Drosophila melanogaster: one gene and its partners. The protein of the gene in region 3 purifies or fractionates together with the protein of the main gene of each other region. This does not show direct contact. Each region holds a gene or a part of one and is shown on either strand. Other genes may lie near its edges.

Region 1 (4,557 bases), 7.7 Mb from region 3:
GATGAGGAAGAGGAAAGCGTGCGGGTCGTCGACATAGAGGACACTTTGGAGCTGACGTCGAATGGCAATGAGGCGAAGCCGGAAGACCAGGAGCTTGCGATTGCTCCCGTCCTCCAGTACTTCCAGGGAGCACTTGTTGAGTTGGGCCGACGCTGCTGGACCTCGTCCACGGAGGCTCAGCACTACACCAAAGGCTGCTACTGGTCCCCGGACGGCACGTGCCTTCTGGTGCCCGTTCACCTAGACGGCATGCACGTTATAGAGATGCCCAGTGACCTCTACTCCGCAGATACGGTGCAGCCGGCACGCTCTCTGACCAAGCTCCAGTCGGAGGTGCACGTGCCCGAGGGCGGAACCGTCTACGACTGCGTCTGGTATCCGCACATGAACAGCCTGCAACCAGAAACCTGCTTGTGAGTTGACAACTCTCTGACGCTCTCCCCAATCTTATACCGTTCCCATTTCACGCAGGTGGCTGGCCACGCGGCAGCACGAACCCATACACATGTGGGATGCCTTCGACGGTTCCCTGCGATGCAGCTACAGTGGGTACGATGCCGTAGACGAAGTAATGGCGGCCATTTCCTTGGCCTTCTCCCATGACGGCGAGCAGATCTATGCGGGATACAAGCGCTGCATCAAGATCTTCGACACCAGCAGGTGAGTCGGCTGCTTATTTTCGTACGCTCATTTAATGCAACTCAAACTCTACTCCGTAGACCCGGACGTTTTTGCGACGATTACCCTGTCAAGTTTGCCATATCCTGCATTGCACAGACCACTGCGCACCCGCACACTCTAACCTGCGGCAACTGGCATGGCTACATCCAGCACTTTGACTTGCGGTGTAGCCACAAGCAGGGTCCTCTCTTCACGCTGGGAGGGCACAAGGGCGGCATCACACAACTGCGCTATGGAGAGTTTGGCAACGGGGAGTGGCATCTGTTCAGTGGAGCTCGCAAGTGCGATAAGATCTTGCAGTGGGACATGCGCAACTACAAGCAGCCACTGGTGGAGTTGCAGCGCCATGTGGACACCAATCAGCGTATTCAATTCGACCTCGCATCCGACAGCAATTGGCTGGCTAGCGGTGACACACGGGGATTCGTCAATGTTTGGGATCTCAAAAAATACGGAGATCCTTCCGTACTGCCCCTGCATTCAGACTGCTGCAACGGAGTGGCACTCAATCCGGCTATGCCGATTCTAGCCACCAGCTCGGGGCAGTTCCACTTTACAGACCAAAGTGCCCAAGGGGACAACGTGACCTTAAACGGAACGGAAACGACGGAGTTGCCGGCGCCGGCCGATGTGAATCAAAATCAGAAGGAAGTTCTCTACGAGAACGCAGTGGTCATGTGGTGGTGCGGCCAAACGGGATAGCATATAAAACTGGTGTAGTCGAGTAAATAATACAAAATCCGTCTTTATTCTTGAATCCATTTGGAAATACTAAAGCATCATGACCGGGTCCATACTGGTTGCCTTCACCTGCAAAGGATTTGCGAGAGTAAGTTGGCGTCGACTCAATGGCGATGGCTGTTAGGTGGAACACTTACCTAGAACCGTTTGAGGAACTCCTCGGCGCAGGTGCGTGCCCTGGCATTGACCGCCAGTTTCATTTCGCTGATCTCCTTGTCGATCTCCTCCATGAAGCTAATGACAAAGTCCACCAGTTTGTGCTTATACATCTGCTCCGTGTGGAAGTTGGTGATGAGGAAGCTTATGTCGTAGCCCTCGATGGGCTTGCGGCGCAGTATGACGAACGACTCGGCGCGTCGCATCATGAACCTGGTGAACTTGTGGCACAGTATGCGCTCAATCTCGTCGGCCTGCTTCACGGCGATGCTCACGCGCACCGAGTTAATGGACGGCTCGATCAGCACCTTCTCCCGCTCGTTGCGCGACACGACGACGGGCGTGAGCACCAGCTCCTTGCTGGAACAGATCTCCACCTCCGGCTTGTTGTGCCGCTCCACCACCTGCGAGGGGAAGTCCTGCAGGCACATCGCCGCCGTCAGCGAGTGTCGCACGGCGGTCAGGTAGGGCTTCAATGTGGCTGCCATTGTGTCTGGGTGTCGGGTTGTTGTCTGCTGCCTGCGGTTTGTTGTATCTGCACTTTTTACTTAACTTATTATGATTCACAGGCCCTGGAATTTATCAACCAGAAAAGATGTGACCATGCGCGGCTGGCAGGAAAATACCAATGCCGAGGTGGGGCCGCAAAAACATAGCAACTATTTGGAATTTGTTATGAAACAGTTTCTATTATATGTTTGGGAAGACTATGCATAAAGTTTATACAATCAATATTAAACATGTTGTTTTTAAACATTTATCAAATCGCACTTAAAACATTTCTTATGATGTCCTGTGTTAAGATGGTAAGAAACTTGACTATCAAGAACTTACCCGAGACCACAACCACTGTTCCATTTCCATTTGTATCTTATCTTTGTGGAATTTTTAGGAGTGAAACAATTTAAATCATACCTAAATTTTAAAAATTTAAGAAAAATGTATATGGCTAGAAGCGTTAAAATTTGAAATGGAAATATCAAATATATGTGTACCATATTAAAGTCCGAAAACCCAACACACCAGCAAAGAGGAAAAATGTTAATTTAGAAGAAAACAGCATCCACCAATTATAAATATTGCATTTATTTGTTTAATGCACTTTTATTATACAATTGTTATAAGTATTTTTGCTCGCATATGGTCAGTTATTTGTGGCTTATATGAACTTAAATTATGCGTGAACCTAGAAAGTGAGTATTTTAATCAATCGTTCAAAATTGTAACCCTTTCCTACTCTCAATACTCAAAAAATGTTTCGGCTGATTATTGCATTGGATTAGACATTAATATATCATAAATTGAGTAAATATCAAAGCATTTTATGCTTTGCGTTTATATTTTGTTCGTTTTTTCTTGAGTATGCTTGAAAGTTTTCGTGTCTGGGTAATTTGGTGTCCTGTGCGTGTTAAATTGTTTTGCCAATGCACATTTTTATTAAGAGATTTATGTTATTGATATTCATTTGTAGAAGCCATAGGTTTACACGAGTACACATACATATATAACGATATAAGATTTAAATTTAAGCTAATCTTTAAAGCGCCCTTTGGTGCAAAATTAAAAATAACTCGCAGGTTTTTGGAAAAAATTTTCCTAAATATTCCATTTGGTTTGCCCTAAATACTTTTTTTTTTTTTTATTATAACCCCCACATTCACTCTCCTCTTAAACCCATTTCTAAAAATAACCCGACGTTAGACAAAATATGCATTTCCATATAATATTACACACATTAATGTATGCTTATACGTAGTTTCCTTCCATTTATATTAATGTCTATATCAGCGTTTTTAGTGTTTGTGTTGTATGTAAATAAAGGAAAAATGCGTTTCGTGTGTTTTACATGGTATTTGATTTTATTGAATTGTATAAGCATTTCTTATGTATTTTTTCTGTTAGACATTTATTTTATAGATAGAAAATGCGAAACTTATAAGAACAAATTATTTGTTAGTGTAAAACTATATTCAGCATGTATATGTATCATGTTGTTGCAAGTTAGTAAATTAAAATTACCACTAAAGTATACATTAACTTAATTAAAAACATTTTCAAATTTTTACTCGCGAAAGCCATTCATAGATGCAAATACAGCGTGCTTATTATTTTGAGAATACCTCAGTCGATGCCACAGTAATTAAAAAAAAAAAAAAACTTGAACATTCAAGACTAAGACTTTGAAAATAATGAATCCAAAACGAATATAACATTCTTGGAACTCAAGGTAAAAAGTGTTTTAAACTTTCAACTGAAATCAACGTGAACTTTTAAAAGAATTTGAAATTTTAAATGACAGGCATGCATTCAACTTGCATAGGCTTTTCTGCCTGGGCTTTTAAGTTTAAATGTAGATTTCCTTTACTAATTTTTTTTTTGCATTAACTTGCCGTAAGCATTCATTTCTTTTCGCTTTATAGTAGCTTATTCGTGTTTCATTATAGAGCTCGTGAGAAAACTCGCTCAGCGGTATCTTGAGACTTTGCCCTTGCCCTTCGCTTCGTTTGCTTTCATAATACTTGGAAATTTTGAGAAATCGTTTTCAGTTTTAAGGGTTTTCTTGCTTAAATATGTGTTGGTGTATTATGCAGTGTTGCTGTTCTTTTTGTAGTCGCCTTGTAACCATGTTTGCAGTGGGTGAGCACAGCTCTCGATGCAGGATCGTTCTCCACTTAGCCTGAGGAGGCAATGGCGCTCTGCTGACCATCCAAATCCTGGGCCTGGGCCTTGTTCTGGCGCACGAGCTCAGCGCGACGTTCCTGAAAGAAAGGAAAGCAATCAAGGATTAATATTCGTTTGCGAATGGAGATGTGCAACTACTGCCAAGTGCTACTCAAACAATAGGGCAAATTGTCGCTTTCAGTGGGGGGGAACAACACGTACGAGTTTTTGAACTTTTTCAATTTTTTTTTGCAATTCCTTTTCGCGTTTCTGCTCGGCGGCGAACAATTTGTTCTCATAAATGCGCGCTTTCTCCTC
Region 2 (7,182 bases), on a different chromosome or scaffold from region 3:
TTTTAAAATATTATCTGTAAAGTCTAACTTAAAGTCAATGATAAATAAATAATCTAATATATCCTTAGCTTATCCTATTTTGGGTGCATTGGTGGTTATTTGATTAATTAGCCTAGAACTAAAAACAAATTTCAAGGAAAATTGGGGAATATTTTTTTTAAGTTGATGGTTTAATGTAACAATTTTTCTTGAAATGCTTTATGCAAGGCACGTTAAACAATGTCTGCTTAATTATTTGTGTAGGCATGAATAAGTAACAAGCTTCGTTCTTTCGAATAAAACAGTTTGGCATATCCATATTTATTAGGGTTTTTCCCAAAGGAAGAAAAATAAGTAAATTAGATTTTTAAATATTGAAAAGTTTGAGTTTGGATATCGATAACAAATGTTACTAACAGTGTGTATGTTCAATAACAGAAGTCACAGTCGTCGTCGCTATCTTGACGCGCGTAAGCTAGTATTTAAGGTATATGTGCGACAATCGACGGTATATTTCTGACTTAACTCTCAAAAACTAGTTGGCCACACTGACCGGATTCAGAAAGGGAATATCTTATATATTTTTTGTGTAGCGTGAATATATTTCGAATAAACCGATCACAATGACTGCCTGGAGAGCTGCCGGAATTACGTAAGCATTGTATAAGTGCCTGCCACACCAGCTGTGTTGTGGCAGCATTCTCATGCAAATAAAAACGCCTTTGCTGCCCGATTACATAACATAATTAATCCAAATATTACCGATTGCAGCTACATCCAATACTCCAACATCGCCGCTCGCATTTTGCGCGAGTCCTTGAAGACGGGACTGCGTGCGGATGCCGCCAAGCGCGACGCGAGCCATGTGAAGTTCACTCCCTGGGCAAATGGCAAGCCAGCTCGTACGTATCATAATACTTTAGACGGCCAAATAGCAGCCATTATATAAATTAACTCCGGATAATTCGAAATCCAAGGGGAAACCGTTATCAATGTGTTATTAGGAATGTTTCGAAGTCATCCACAAGTGGTTTCCACACGGTATTCTACCCAAAAGTTTCGGAAAAAAGCCCCGTTTCGAAATGGCAATGTGAAAAATACCGAAAAATGAACGGTTCACTCGTGTTCCCACTTTACTCCGAAAATGTTGCCAATTTACAGGCGTAATATCGCGTGTAAAAACTGTTCCCATCTATAGATATTCGTATATTATTGCATATATCATATATATTTGCAATCTGTTTAAATCCTGATCATCAACATTGAAGCGTTCATACTCATCCAAACCATTTCTAAAACTTTAATTTCAAAATTTTCGTAACTTATTGGAATATCGAAACAAAATTAGGCAAAATTGCTTACCATTCCTTCAAGACAAACGCTCCATAAAGTAATAGAATTTATGTTTCATATTGCGTCATATTTGAATATATTTTTCAGATGAAAGGGCTTAGGTGTTCCATCGTCAAATTAATAATTTAAAAACTGGCGTAAGTGCCTGCCGCGGCAGACAAAACCCAAATTATCCCAGCGTTCGCATTAAACTCAACGACAGTTTATGTATCTAACTTTGTTCCCAAAGTTTCTAACTACGCTTACAAGCTGATCTGCATGCAAATGCGATGTGTTTACATATAATATAATGTTTATATTAATATACATATATATATCCCAAAATTGCCCGCCCCAAAAGTTTACAAGCGACCAACTATTAACTATTTCTTTGTGATGAAAAACTATTATCCAAAGCAAATGCTGATTATTGCCATTTTTCTGTCCGCAGAGCGTCAAACCCAATCGGAATCCTAGATGCTTTTCAGTGGCCACTCGAGAATGATTCGCAACAACTAAGATCCGCCGAAGCTGCAATGTTGTAAAATCATGAAAAATAAATAAAATTAAATAAATGTAATTTATTTAAACACGATGATTTTAATTGTTCTTAAATGTGGCATTTATTTGGGCGTTCCGTTTAGAGATCGCGACCGATGAAACGGACTTCTAGCAAAGATTTAAATATAGACTCAATAGAATATTGTAATTTTGAAAAGAACTATTGGTCAGGTTCACCAGAAGCCTTTTAATTGGGATCAGTGATAGGTTTCTTGCTATAATTTTGTCAACGCATATTTGTATAGAATGATTTTATACACATAATGCTGAACCAATTGAATTGTTACTTATATTTTGCGCTTTAAATATACACATATAGACATTATTTATGTTAATTATTATCCAGTTAGTTTATATTTTAATTTAAATATATATATATATATATTTTTAAGGTAGAGTATTTTGGATTATCCTTCAAAAATTATCGATTTGCTACCACTAAGACCGATTAAATTGCTACCGAAGTGCTATTTCAATTGCAGCATGTTGATTTGTGTGTTGATGATGTCGTGTACTTGCGTTTCCTATGTCATCGGGTGCGATCCTTCAATGGTTGGCGAGATTGCATTTCCCATCTTAGATCATAAGTCCTTTAGAATGGCACTCTTTGCGTTTTTCAACTTATCGAGGCGTTTCAACAAATGGTTGTTGGACGTTTCAGCTTCCTCCAACTTCTCCAAGAGTTCCCGGTGCTGCGAAATGGATTAGCTAGATCATAAACTGCTCATTTCGCTTGGCATTCCCACCACTCACCTCGCGTTGCAGCTTGCGGCGCTCCAGCTTCAGCTCAGCCTCCGCCTTTTCGGCAGCTTCTGCGGTGCTTTTGTATCGGATTACTTGAGTTTCGGAGCGCGCTAGGCTCGACTGTAGGTTGGCGATTTCCTGTTCCGCCTTTTGCAGCTTATATTTATGGTCTGAAATGATTTTGTTTGTTTCCCCTGTCGGATAGTATAAGAAAAAGGAAGGGCTCGTAATATAGTACAAATATGTTGCAGTCCTATAGTGCCAAACTGCAATAGTTATATACAATTTATTGTTTTAAAAAACTGAAGATATATGGAGATACACAAAAGTGCGAGAGAATGTGGCCGATCAATGCGATCGGAAATATAAATGATATATATATATATATATATTGCTTGAAGCCATGTTATCAAATAATAAAAACTACAAATAATACGATTTGAATATCGTTCAAATTTGAGCAAGACTCGGTTAGTTATTGTGTGCTGCCAAAAAGGGCTGCTAGTTATAAAAAAGATAATCACTGCGGTGCACTTTACATGCTGAAAGTTTAGTTGGCATTAAGTAAGTATGGTACACGTACGTTGGGCCTCGTAATCATTCTCATCGCCGAAGGAACCTTGCGAAAGACTGCGGCGTCCGGAAATTCCATCACTTTTATACTCGTCAAGTTGTTCGTGAAGCTTCTGCACCTCCGCCAGCAGCCGCTGCTTCTCGTCACTGAACTTTTTAAGTCTAACGTCTGCAAAGAACTCGAACTGTTGTTAAATGATCTCATCCAGGTGCAAATGGGGGATAATCACCTAAAGAACCCTGCACGGAGGCCAGCACCTTGGCATTCTCGACACTCACTAGAGCTCGCTTGGCATCGCTGCCATCGGCATTTTCAACTGCTACAATTAGAAGGCCCTGTTCGGCGATCAACGAGTCGCGCTCGTTTAACTGCCCTTGTACTAGCTTAAGCTCGAGATTGGCGCGATCCAGGTTGCGTTTGAGGGCATTGCAGTCACGCATCTTCTCCTTGAACTCGCGCTGTAGTTGTGCATACGACTCTTCCATTATTTCGCATTTGTCCTTCAGTAGCTTGACTTCGTAGGCCTGCGAGGCGCGATCGTTGTCCAACTGGGCGTTCGTTATCATGGCTTTGCGAAACCGCTCCTCAACATCCTGAAAGCAGAACCACTTAAATCACATCGAAGTGATGGCTGCGATGTCAGCACCCACCTTAAGCTCGTGCTTGAAGTCGCGAAAACTTCTGCCCTCCTCCTCCACGGAGTCCTCACTGCTGCGGCGGGATGCTGATGCACGGGTCACGTTTAACAGTCCGCCGTAGGCGAGGCGCACGGGATGCGCCGACAGAGTTTCGCTGCCCACTGCCGTGGAGTTTTGCATGTCGAAGACCCGGTCGGCGGTGATCTCCTGCTCTTTCTGCTGCCGCTCCAGCTCCCTCATGCGAATCTCGCGGGCTTCGGCGCGCGCCTGTCGACGCGCAGCAAGTCGCGCTTCCGCCTGAAAAGAAGGGAATCAGTTTCATTTAAATCAACTAATTGATAGAGTTTCAATTATGCGACCCTTTGCGGCTGTAATTCTCTTGTGTTAACCGAGCACGTACAAATCGCAGTTGATAGTAACAATTTTAATATTTACATTGAATGCTATGTTTTGGGATGTAAAATACACACCTCTTTCGTAATTTGATCCAGCGCATTGTCTTCGGCATTGATTCGCATGTTGTTCCGTCGCCGACCTGTGGTGCTGATACTTTCCATTGAATCTGTGCTCAATTTAACTATATTTTATATATTAATCGCAAGCGATCGCACGCTAAAAAGAAGCAACTTGTTAGTTTCAAGTCTATAAGAATGCACTAAGAATTCAGTTTCGATTTGAACCCATTGAAAGTGATAACAAGGATCATATTGCGATAATTCCAAAGAAAAGTCCATTGAATTCAGCCACTAACTTATAAATAAATATAATAATTGCAGAGACAGCATTTCTGGTGCTGCTCTTTCGGTGTCCAGCTCGTTGAAACCTCCTATATTGGTAAACATTTTGGAATGTCCTAATTGATGATCGTGTGTGGTATGATAATGGATACCTTATCATCGGAACGCACTTTGTTATCTAGCAGAGCTGACTCACTTATATAAAAACCGGTGAATATATAGTCCCATTGTCACCAAGCAAGCGAACATGCAGATAAAATGCGTATCAGATGATGAAAATAAAGTAAACTTTTTTTTTGCATTGCGCTGCATAATGGTTTTTTCTTTTTTAACTTTTACAAATTCCCCATCGACACTTGGCAATTTGGTGGCACAGATGCAAGAAAACTAGTTTATCTCCTGTTTATAAATAGGATGTATCCGTCCGTCGTTCCCGGTGAATATGTTTTTATCCACTATTTATATTTGTAAAACAAAAAAAAACCGTCTGCATTGCAGTTTTAATTTTAATGGGAGCGGCGTTACACACATCTGTTTTCCCAAGTTTTCACGCACGTATCTTTCGGGGACTGTGTGTAGCACACATCAAAGAGTTTAGGTTGCGGCCCCACTAGACTATAGGTATTTACACAAAGGTGACAAAATCTATAAATTAATTAAACACACATACACATAAAAAGTTTTAAGAGACACCTTAAGCGAAAGAACAATCACAATTAATCATAATAGAGGTGGTCGATAAGTCGATCTATCGATAAAAATCATAAGTGCTATGTGAACCCGATGCGATTTTTCCACCGCACACAGCTGACATTTATCTAAGCAATGCTCTCAAATGTGCCATAAAAAGCCTGCCATACATACCGACATCTACAATTTTAGAGGTGATTTTAAAATGCACACACAATACAATTTGTCTGTTGCATAGTTTAACTGTCAAATGAGAAAATCTTTTAAATGCCAGTGGGAAAAACGACATCCTAGAAGTGACTGTGAGGCGTGACATCACCAGCTGTTATCGTTATCGATAGGCGACGTGTGCACACTACTTGCCATCCATGTGGCATCGTTGTGTTGTTGTTATTAATCAGCGGAGCAACAGAAGTCACAATTTGGAAACATGTCCGAGCTAAATATGGAGCTGAAAAAACTCAGGGAGCTGGTAAGCGAATAGCTGTTACTTTACGCCAACATTTTGACATGACATGCCGGCTTTAAAGGAACTGAAGACCCAAGGCCTTGCCGCCAGAATACAAACTGCCAAAAGCGGTGAACAGTTGGACGTCGATCTTGTTCAGCTTCAAATTGAAAATAAGAAGCTGAAGAACCGCCTGTTTATCCTAAAGAAGGTGAGTTTATGACCCCCAATGTGTTTAAGCTTAAGAATTTCATGTCTTTTATTTCCCTGTTAGTCCATTGCTGAGGAATCAACTGCCGCCGGCGGCGACGTTTCGAAGCCCAAGGAATCCTCTTCGATCACCGAACACCTGGAAAGCGTCTTTCGCCAGGCGATTGCATCAGCTTTCCCGGAATTCAGAGATACGCCTGTTATAATTGCACCAGTTAATAGTACGTCTGCGAAATTCGGCGACTATCAGTGCAACAATGCCATGGGATTGTCCAAGAAGCTGAAAGAGAAGGGCATTAATAAAGCACCACGTGATATTGCAACCGAGTTGAAAGGACACTGCCCAGCATCACCAATCATTGAAAAGCTGGAAATTGCCGGAGCTGGCTTCGTAAACGTGTTCCTTAGCAAGTGAGTGGCATAAGTACACAAAGTCCATTATAAACATTAAAAATGTTAATTTTTGCAGAGATTATGCATCTTTAGCCTTAAGCAATCTATTGCGTAACGGTGTCAAGCCGCCAGAAGTGATCAAAAAGCGAGTCCTGGTCGACTTTTCATCGCCCAACATTGCCAAACAGATGCATGTCGGTCACTTGCGGTCCACGATCATTGGCGAGTCGTTATGCCGCTTGCTGGAGTTCCTGCAGCACGATGTGATCCGCATCAACCACCTGGGTGACTGGGGAACACAGTTTGGCATGCTGATTGCCCATTTGGAAGATCGTTTCCCCAACTACCTAAATGAAAGCCCTCCGATCAGTGATCTGCAATTGTTCTACAAGGAATCCAAGAAGCGGTAAGACTTGTAACATTACGAAGTAATTACGATGTGCTCGAGGTAAATAATACTTCCTTGCAGATTCGATGAAGATGAGGAGTTCAAAAAACGTGCCTACAGTCGAGTGGTTTCATTGCAGAAAGGTGTGCCGAACTCCATTAAGGCGTGGGAGCTAATTTGCAATGTGTCGCGAAAGGAGTTCCAAACGATCTACGAACGATTAGATATTAGCGTCAAGGAACGGGGGGAATCGTTCTACCAATCACGTATGCTGTCCGTTGTGGAATACTTGCGAGGCAAGGGTCTGCTGGAAGTGGATGAAGGACGCGAGATCATGTGGCCAGACGATACGAAAACTGGCATACCTCTGACAATCGTGAAATCGGATGGCGGCTTTACCTATGATACCTCTGACATGGCAGCCATTCGCCATCGCTTGGAGGAGGAGCTTTGCGATTGGATCATCTATGTGGTCGACTCCGGCCAAA
Region 3 (5,305 bases):
GAGGCCACCTGCTGCTCCGAAATGCTTCGCGGCGCTTGTGGGAACAGTTGGGCGTGCAAATTCCGCGAGATCATCTGCACCTTGACCAGATTTTCCGCATATTCCGTTGGGCCATTCTCCACATTCTCCGGCTTCTTTGGTTTGTTTACCTTTTGCGGAGGCTTGACCCGCCGAAAGATCTTCACGCTACTGCTGGCGTAGTGCTCCCGGCTAACTTTGCTGGCGTACTTTCTGATCAGGTGGAACTGCATCCTCGTTTTAATAAAGGAAACATCCTTTAAGGCAACTGAAGTCCAACCTGCGACCACACACTCCTCCGTAAGATTGCCGCCAGCCTAGGTATTTTTGTGCGCTTGCGCGGCGGTCACATTGATTTAATTCAAATTTATTTCCGTTAAATTAATAATAAATAAATATAAAACATTTTCAAAAAATTCCAACAAATCAAATTTCTTGCTGCTTGAAACGATTAATTATTAAAAAACAAACACTTAACATTTGATTTTACGAATAAAAAACATTTTATTCAGTTTGCTATAAAGGTGAAACACTTTAAAACACACACACACTTTCGGAACCATTATGGAAGTTGGTGGGGGGGGGGGGGGGGAAAGAACAATCTCTTCGGTTAATTTATGTAAAAAGGCTTTCGCACGGTACAGAACAATGGGAAAAGCGATTTTGGAAAACATTTTGGCAAATACTTCGCTCCTGGCCAGGCCAACACACTCGCTAACAGACAATAACACGTAACGCTGGTCCGTTCCGGGCCGCACTAGATCTGCAGGTTGCGCATGCCGCCATTGATGCCGCCCTGCTCCACATTCCAAATGACCAGCTGCCCGTCGACGCCCGAGGTGGACACCTTGGTGGCGCTCGCCTTGTCGCCGGCATACAGTCGCACGCTGGTGATGGCGTTCTGATGTATGGAATCGACCACCGTGTCCGTGTTCTCCGTGCGCATGTTGCGGTCCATCGACTGAAAGATTCTCATGGCGGTAATGCCGCTCGACTCCTTCTTCTGCGACTTATCGAGCTTGCCGCTCAGCACCAGCTTTCCATCGGCAGTCAGACTGTAGAGCAGTGGCACACAGCTATAGCCGGCCACCACGACGGACGTGGGCGAGACCCATTCGCATGACAGGAAGGGCAGATAGCCGGTGCGGCATCGAATGACCGTATTGCCATTGGTAGCGTCCGCGATGCTCACGCAGCTGTCGTGGCCCACCCAGCAGACCTTGTTACCGTCGCTGGAGAAGCTCACGCTGTTAATCCAGCCGCCACCCGAGGTCTGCGAGTTGCGGAACTCGGCCATTAGCTGGCCAAGGGGCTTGCGATTGCCCCACGGCGTCGGCGTCGGTGGCTCCTCGATGTCCTTGATGAAGGCCGAGAAAACGCGCACCTTGTAGTCCGTGGAGCCGGCCAGCAGCAGAACGTTGTTCGGATGCCAGTCCAGCGAAGTGACCGTAGAGCGGATCGGCTTCTTGATGTGCTTCGACACCCACCAGTCGTTCTCCGACTCGAAATAGCACACGGATATGAGTCGGGCGCCCGAACCCACAGCGAACTTGTTCTCCGCCGGCGACCACTTGACGCAGGTTGCCGCCCGATTGATGCGCAGCAGCACCAACGCCGGCTTCCACTTGCCATCGTCGCCCTGCGTCCACACATAGGCATTACGGTCGGCGGCACAGCTCACAATCCGATTGGTGTTCTTGGCCCAGTCGATGCCCATGACGCGCAGATCGTGCTGGTTGAGCACGTCCGCCAGCTTCCAGTCGCTGCCCTCCCGGCTGTATATGTGGATCTCATGGTTGTTGGGCGATAAGGCAATCTCTGCGAATTTTTGGGAGTGGGTGGTGGTGAGTCACACTGTGCCGGATGAGTAATTTGGGTCGCACTTACGGGTTCGATCCTTGTTCCATGCGTGGCAGGTGATGGAGGCCAGCGAGGTGCCAAAGGTGTATGTCTCGGCCATCGTGGGTGGCTAAATGCGCTCGGAATGTGCAGTGTTCGCTCGTCCAAATCCAACCACACGCGTAGTTTCTTCGGTTCGGTTCGCCGGATTTTCGGATTTTGGATATCGCTGTGTAGCAATTGGGCGTTGTTTCCGCTGGATTTTAGCTTCGCTCTCGTTTTAATCGCGGACTCTGGGCCGTCAACACGATTAAGCTGGCGTTGCTGGGATGGATTCTGGCTTTGCCTGGGCCGGAAGAGTAGAGCGTTGTGGAAAAAACTCTTTGGAAAAGTAATGCACAAAATTAATCACCCGAAATTAGAGCTGGAACAAAAATCGATGGCCCTCAATACTATCGTTATTTCGTTATATCGATATTTTTCGATTGTTTGAAAAATGCTAAGGTACCAGTGCTGTTACGCACGTTCGGTATATACCAGAGGGAATAATTTGGCGCCATTTCAATGGTCACACTAAACAGAAACCATTTCTTGTAAACAAATTTTTAATAACTGGCTGGCTCGTAATTTATTTTTGTTATTTTATAAACCGAGGAAGTATTTTCCCTTTTGAAAGCCCGTTTAAATAACACCACTTCGCCTGTGGGTAGCTGAGGAAACTTAAAAGCAGACGACAGCTATGGAAGCCATCTGCTCCTCCTTGGAGCCGCTGTTTCCCTGTCGGGAGGCGGCCATTGAAACGCTGGGCGAGCTGATAGGAGATTCGAGTGAGACATATCCCTCGGCAATTTACCTATTCGGACACAGTGGAACCGGCAAAACAGCTCTGACCAGAGCTTTCCTCAAAGAATGTGGAAAACGGCAAAATGTCCGCACAGCGCATTTAAATGCCATCGAATGCTACACCACCAAGATAATGCTGGAGATCCTGTTAGACTCGCTGGCACCCGATCAAGGTGATGCGCTGAAGGTCGACAACATGCTGGACTTTGTGGAGCAGCTGCGTCGGCAGGCCGCTACACGCGTGGAGGATCAGGGATTTCTCATAGCCGTGGATAACGCGGAAAGGCTGCGCGACATGGATGCCAATGTGTTGCCCGTTCTTCTCCGACTGCAGGAGCTGACCAACCTGAATCTGTGCGTTATTCTGCTCTCCCAGCTGCCCTTTGAGAAGTTCTACAACAAGACCGGACTTAGTGAAATCGTCTGCCTGCACTTGGCGCAGTACAACAAGGCGGAGACACAGCGCATCCTGGGATCTGACTTTCAGCAGGTGCGAAATCAACTGCTGGAACAGTTCGCCCAGGATAAGAAGCGTCTGGAGATTTGCCAGGAAGCCGTAACTGAAGACTTCTACAACAACTATCTGAATCTCTTTCTGAGCGTCTTTTACAAAGCCTGTCGCGATGTTCCAGAGCTCCAGCTGACCGCCAGGAAGTGTCTGTCCACATACTTGGAGCCTGTACTCGACGGCACTGTGGATGCCACGGACATCTCCCGGCTTTGGCGGCATATAGCTGGACCACTGCGTTCCGCCTTAACCCAGATTTATATGCGAATTGAAAAACCCGCGGAAGAAGTTGAAGATTTCACCGCCATAGAAGATCAGAGCGTTCGCAAGCTGGCGCAGTCGCTGGAGCTGCCCTACTATGCCAAATTTCTGTTGATCGCTGCCTTCTTAGCCAGCCACAATGCCGCCAAGCAGGACAAGCGATTGTTCGTCAAGCACCATGGAAAACAGCGAAAGCGGATGCAGACGGTCAACGCCAGAGCCAAGGTGGGTTATTCAATTTTTCGATGACTCCATTTGCTTATTTTAATACCTTTTAGACCACGGAGAAAATGTCCACCACTTTGGGACCCAAATCCTTTAGCATCGATCGTTTGCTGGCCATTTTCTACGCCATTCTAGAGGAGAAAGTCGGTCTGACCTGCAACCTTCTCTCCCAGATCTCAACTTTGGTGCACCTCAATCTACTAAGCTTCGTCTCCGGCGAACAAAACATAATGGAAGGTTCCGCTAGGCTGCAGTGCACCATTGGCTTGGAGTTTGTCCTGCAGATTGGCAAGGTGGTGGGCTTTAATGTCCGCCAATATCTCTGCGACTTTATGTAGCCCCTGGTTGTTTTTTTTAGTTTTTAAATATATTTAATAAATAGTCCGGTACATCGCTTATGTGTATGGTCTCCGCCAGCCTTGTGTCCCGGCTGCGCAACTGCATCAGTCCGTTTCTTAGCGTTTGCTCGTTTATAACAAGTGTATAAGGTATGCCGAGCATATCCGTTTCCAGCAAGTGCTCTGCTAAATGAGAAGCGTTCTTCGTCGTACGAATTCCATCCCCTTCAGAAAGTCTAAGACCGGCGTGGTTGAGAACATGTTTCAGATGCTGACAAAGATCAGACAAGTCAGCAGATAGCTCGGAATCACTTTCCACACAGGCAATTCCACATTGATATGGCGCCAGAACGCGGTGTAAGAGCAGGGATTGCGAGTCCCGGCCATGATCACAGCCATCCAGAAGCAGAGCTAAAGGATAATAATATAGAAAGATTTTCAAAGATAGTTATGATGACCACTTACCGCAGGTGGTAGTTTCCAGCTCTATCACAGACCTTATGACAGTCGGTTGCACAATTTCACCCGTTCGCGCATCGGGCAGCCGGAAGTCTTTGTCGTCCACTATTCTCACCAGGCTCAGTTGCTCCACGGTCACTTCTCCTGCATCACCGTAGCTCGTGCGGATATCGATGGCTTGATAGTCGTTGGGATTGAGATCCTCAGCCAAATCGCAAGGTACGATGCGGTAGCGACTGGGATTCGAGGAAAGACGCATCCACCAGATCTTGCTCTCACGCTGCATGTTGTAGAAGTGCTCCAGTGCGCGATGTGGTTCCACTAGGAAGTCCGTGGTTAAATGTAGCGTAGGACCCTTTATCCCAAATAGGGAATTGCTAGTGGGACCAGAACAAGTGCTTTGATGTTTCAGAAGAGTGGGACATTTGGCCTTTCGAGGATGATCTTTGACGAGTTTTTGGAAATTGTTACGGAATTGCTGGCTTTGTGGAAAGGAAAAACGCTGGATGTTGACTGGATTTATGGGTTCTTTCGTGGCGCCCAGGTGCGCAGCCAAGGGACGTAGTCGTGTCCAATGCTGTTGCAACAGTTTGGCGTATTCCCTTCCATGACTCAGTAGCTCCAGTTTATTGTCTTCCACGGTGCGAAAGAAGCCAGCGGAAGCCAGGGACTTAAAGCATCGTTGTATGCGACTCATTGCTCCAGCGGAATGTTGCCCGGCGGCGAAACGAAGTAGTCCTCGTCCGTCACCTTGGCGTTCCGGAGCACCTCCGCCCGGCAATCGCCTTCGGTCACCTGGTCGTTGCGTAACTGG

Evidence for each region.
Region 1: the proteins of Arpc1 (region 3) and Arpc4 purify together in Drosophila melanogaster (affinity purification with mass spectrometry, with the first as the bait; one large-scale study listed by BioGRID). This does not show direct contact.
Region 2: the proteins of Arpc1 (region 3) and CG8578 purify together in Drosophila melanogaster (affinity purification with mass spectrometry, with the first as the bait; one large-scale study listed by BioGRID). This does not show direct contact.

What each region holds. Positions count from the first base shown.
Region 1 is NT_033779.5:6,122,758-6,127,314, reverse strand, and holds Arpc4 (Actin-related protein 2/3 complex, subunit 4), read right to left. Parts: upstream 2,184-4,557; 5' UTR 2,067-2,183; coding exon 1,560-2,066; intron 1,492-1,559; 3' UTR 1,404-1,491; downstream 1-1,403. Other genes in the region: WDR79 (WD repeat domain 79), read left to right, coding at 1-413, 472-660, 720-1,383; stai (stathmin), read right to left, coding at 4,251-4,337, 4,462-4,557.
Region 2 is NC_004354.4:15,842,585-15,849,766, reverse strand, and holds CG8578 (uncharacterized protein), read right to left. Parts: upstream 5,292-7,182; 5' UTR 5,236-5,291; intron 5,131-5,235; exon of another isoform or gene 5,095-5,130; intron 4,441-5,094; 5' UTR 4,386-4,440; coding exon 4,299-4,385; intron 4,126-4,298; coding exon 3,841-4,125; intron 3,784-3,840; coding exon 3,420-3,783; intron 3,359-3,419; coding exon 3,200-3,358; intron 2,811-3,199; coding exon 2,626-2,810; intron 2,565-2,625; coding exon 2,454-2,564; 3' UTR 1,909-2,453; downstream 1-1,908. Other genes in the region: sun (stunted), read left to right, coding at 603-631, 751-881, 1,763-1,788; ArgRS (Arginyl-tRNA synthetase), read left to right, coding at 5,686-5,727, 5,786-5,914, 5,978-6,324, 6,383-6,712, 6,776-7,182.
Region 3 is NT_033779.5:13,827,441-13,832,745, forward strand, and holds Arpc1 (Actin-related protein 2/3 complex, subunit 1), read right to left. Parts: upstream 2,302-5,305; 5' UTR 2,270-2,301; exon of another isoform or gene 2,204-2,269; 5' UTR 1,979-2,203; coding exon 1,906-1,978; intron 1,837-1,905; coding exon 776-1,836; 3' UTR 501-775; downstream 1-500. Other genes in the region: PolG1 (DNA polymerase gamma subunit 1), read right to left, coding at 1-251; Orc5 (origin recognition complex subunit 5), read left to right, coding at 2,597-3,694, 3,748-4,032; PolG2 (DNA polymerase gamma subunit 2), read right to left, coding at 4,049-4,443, 4,498-5,188; GatC (Glutamyl-tRNA amidotransferase, subunit C), read right to left, coding at 5,185-5,305.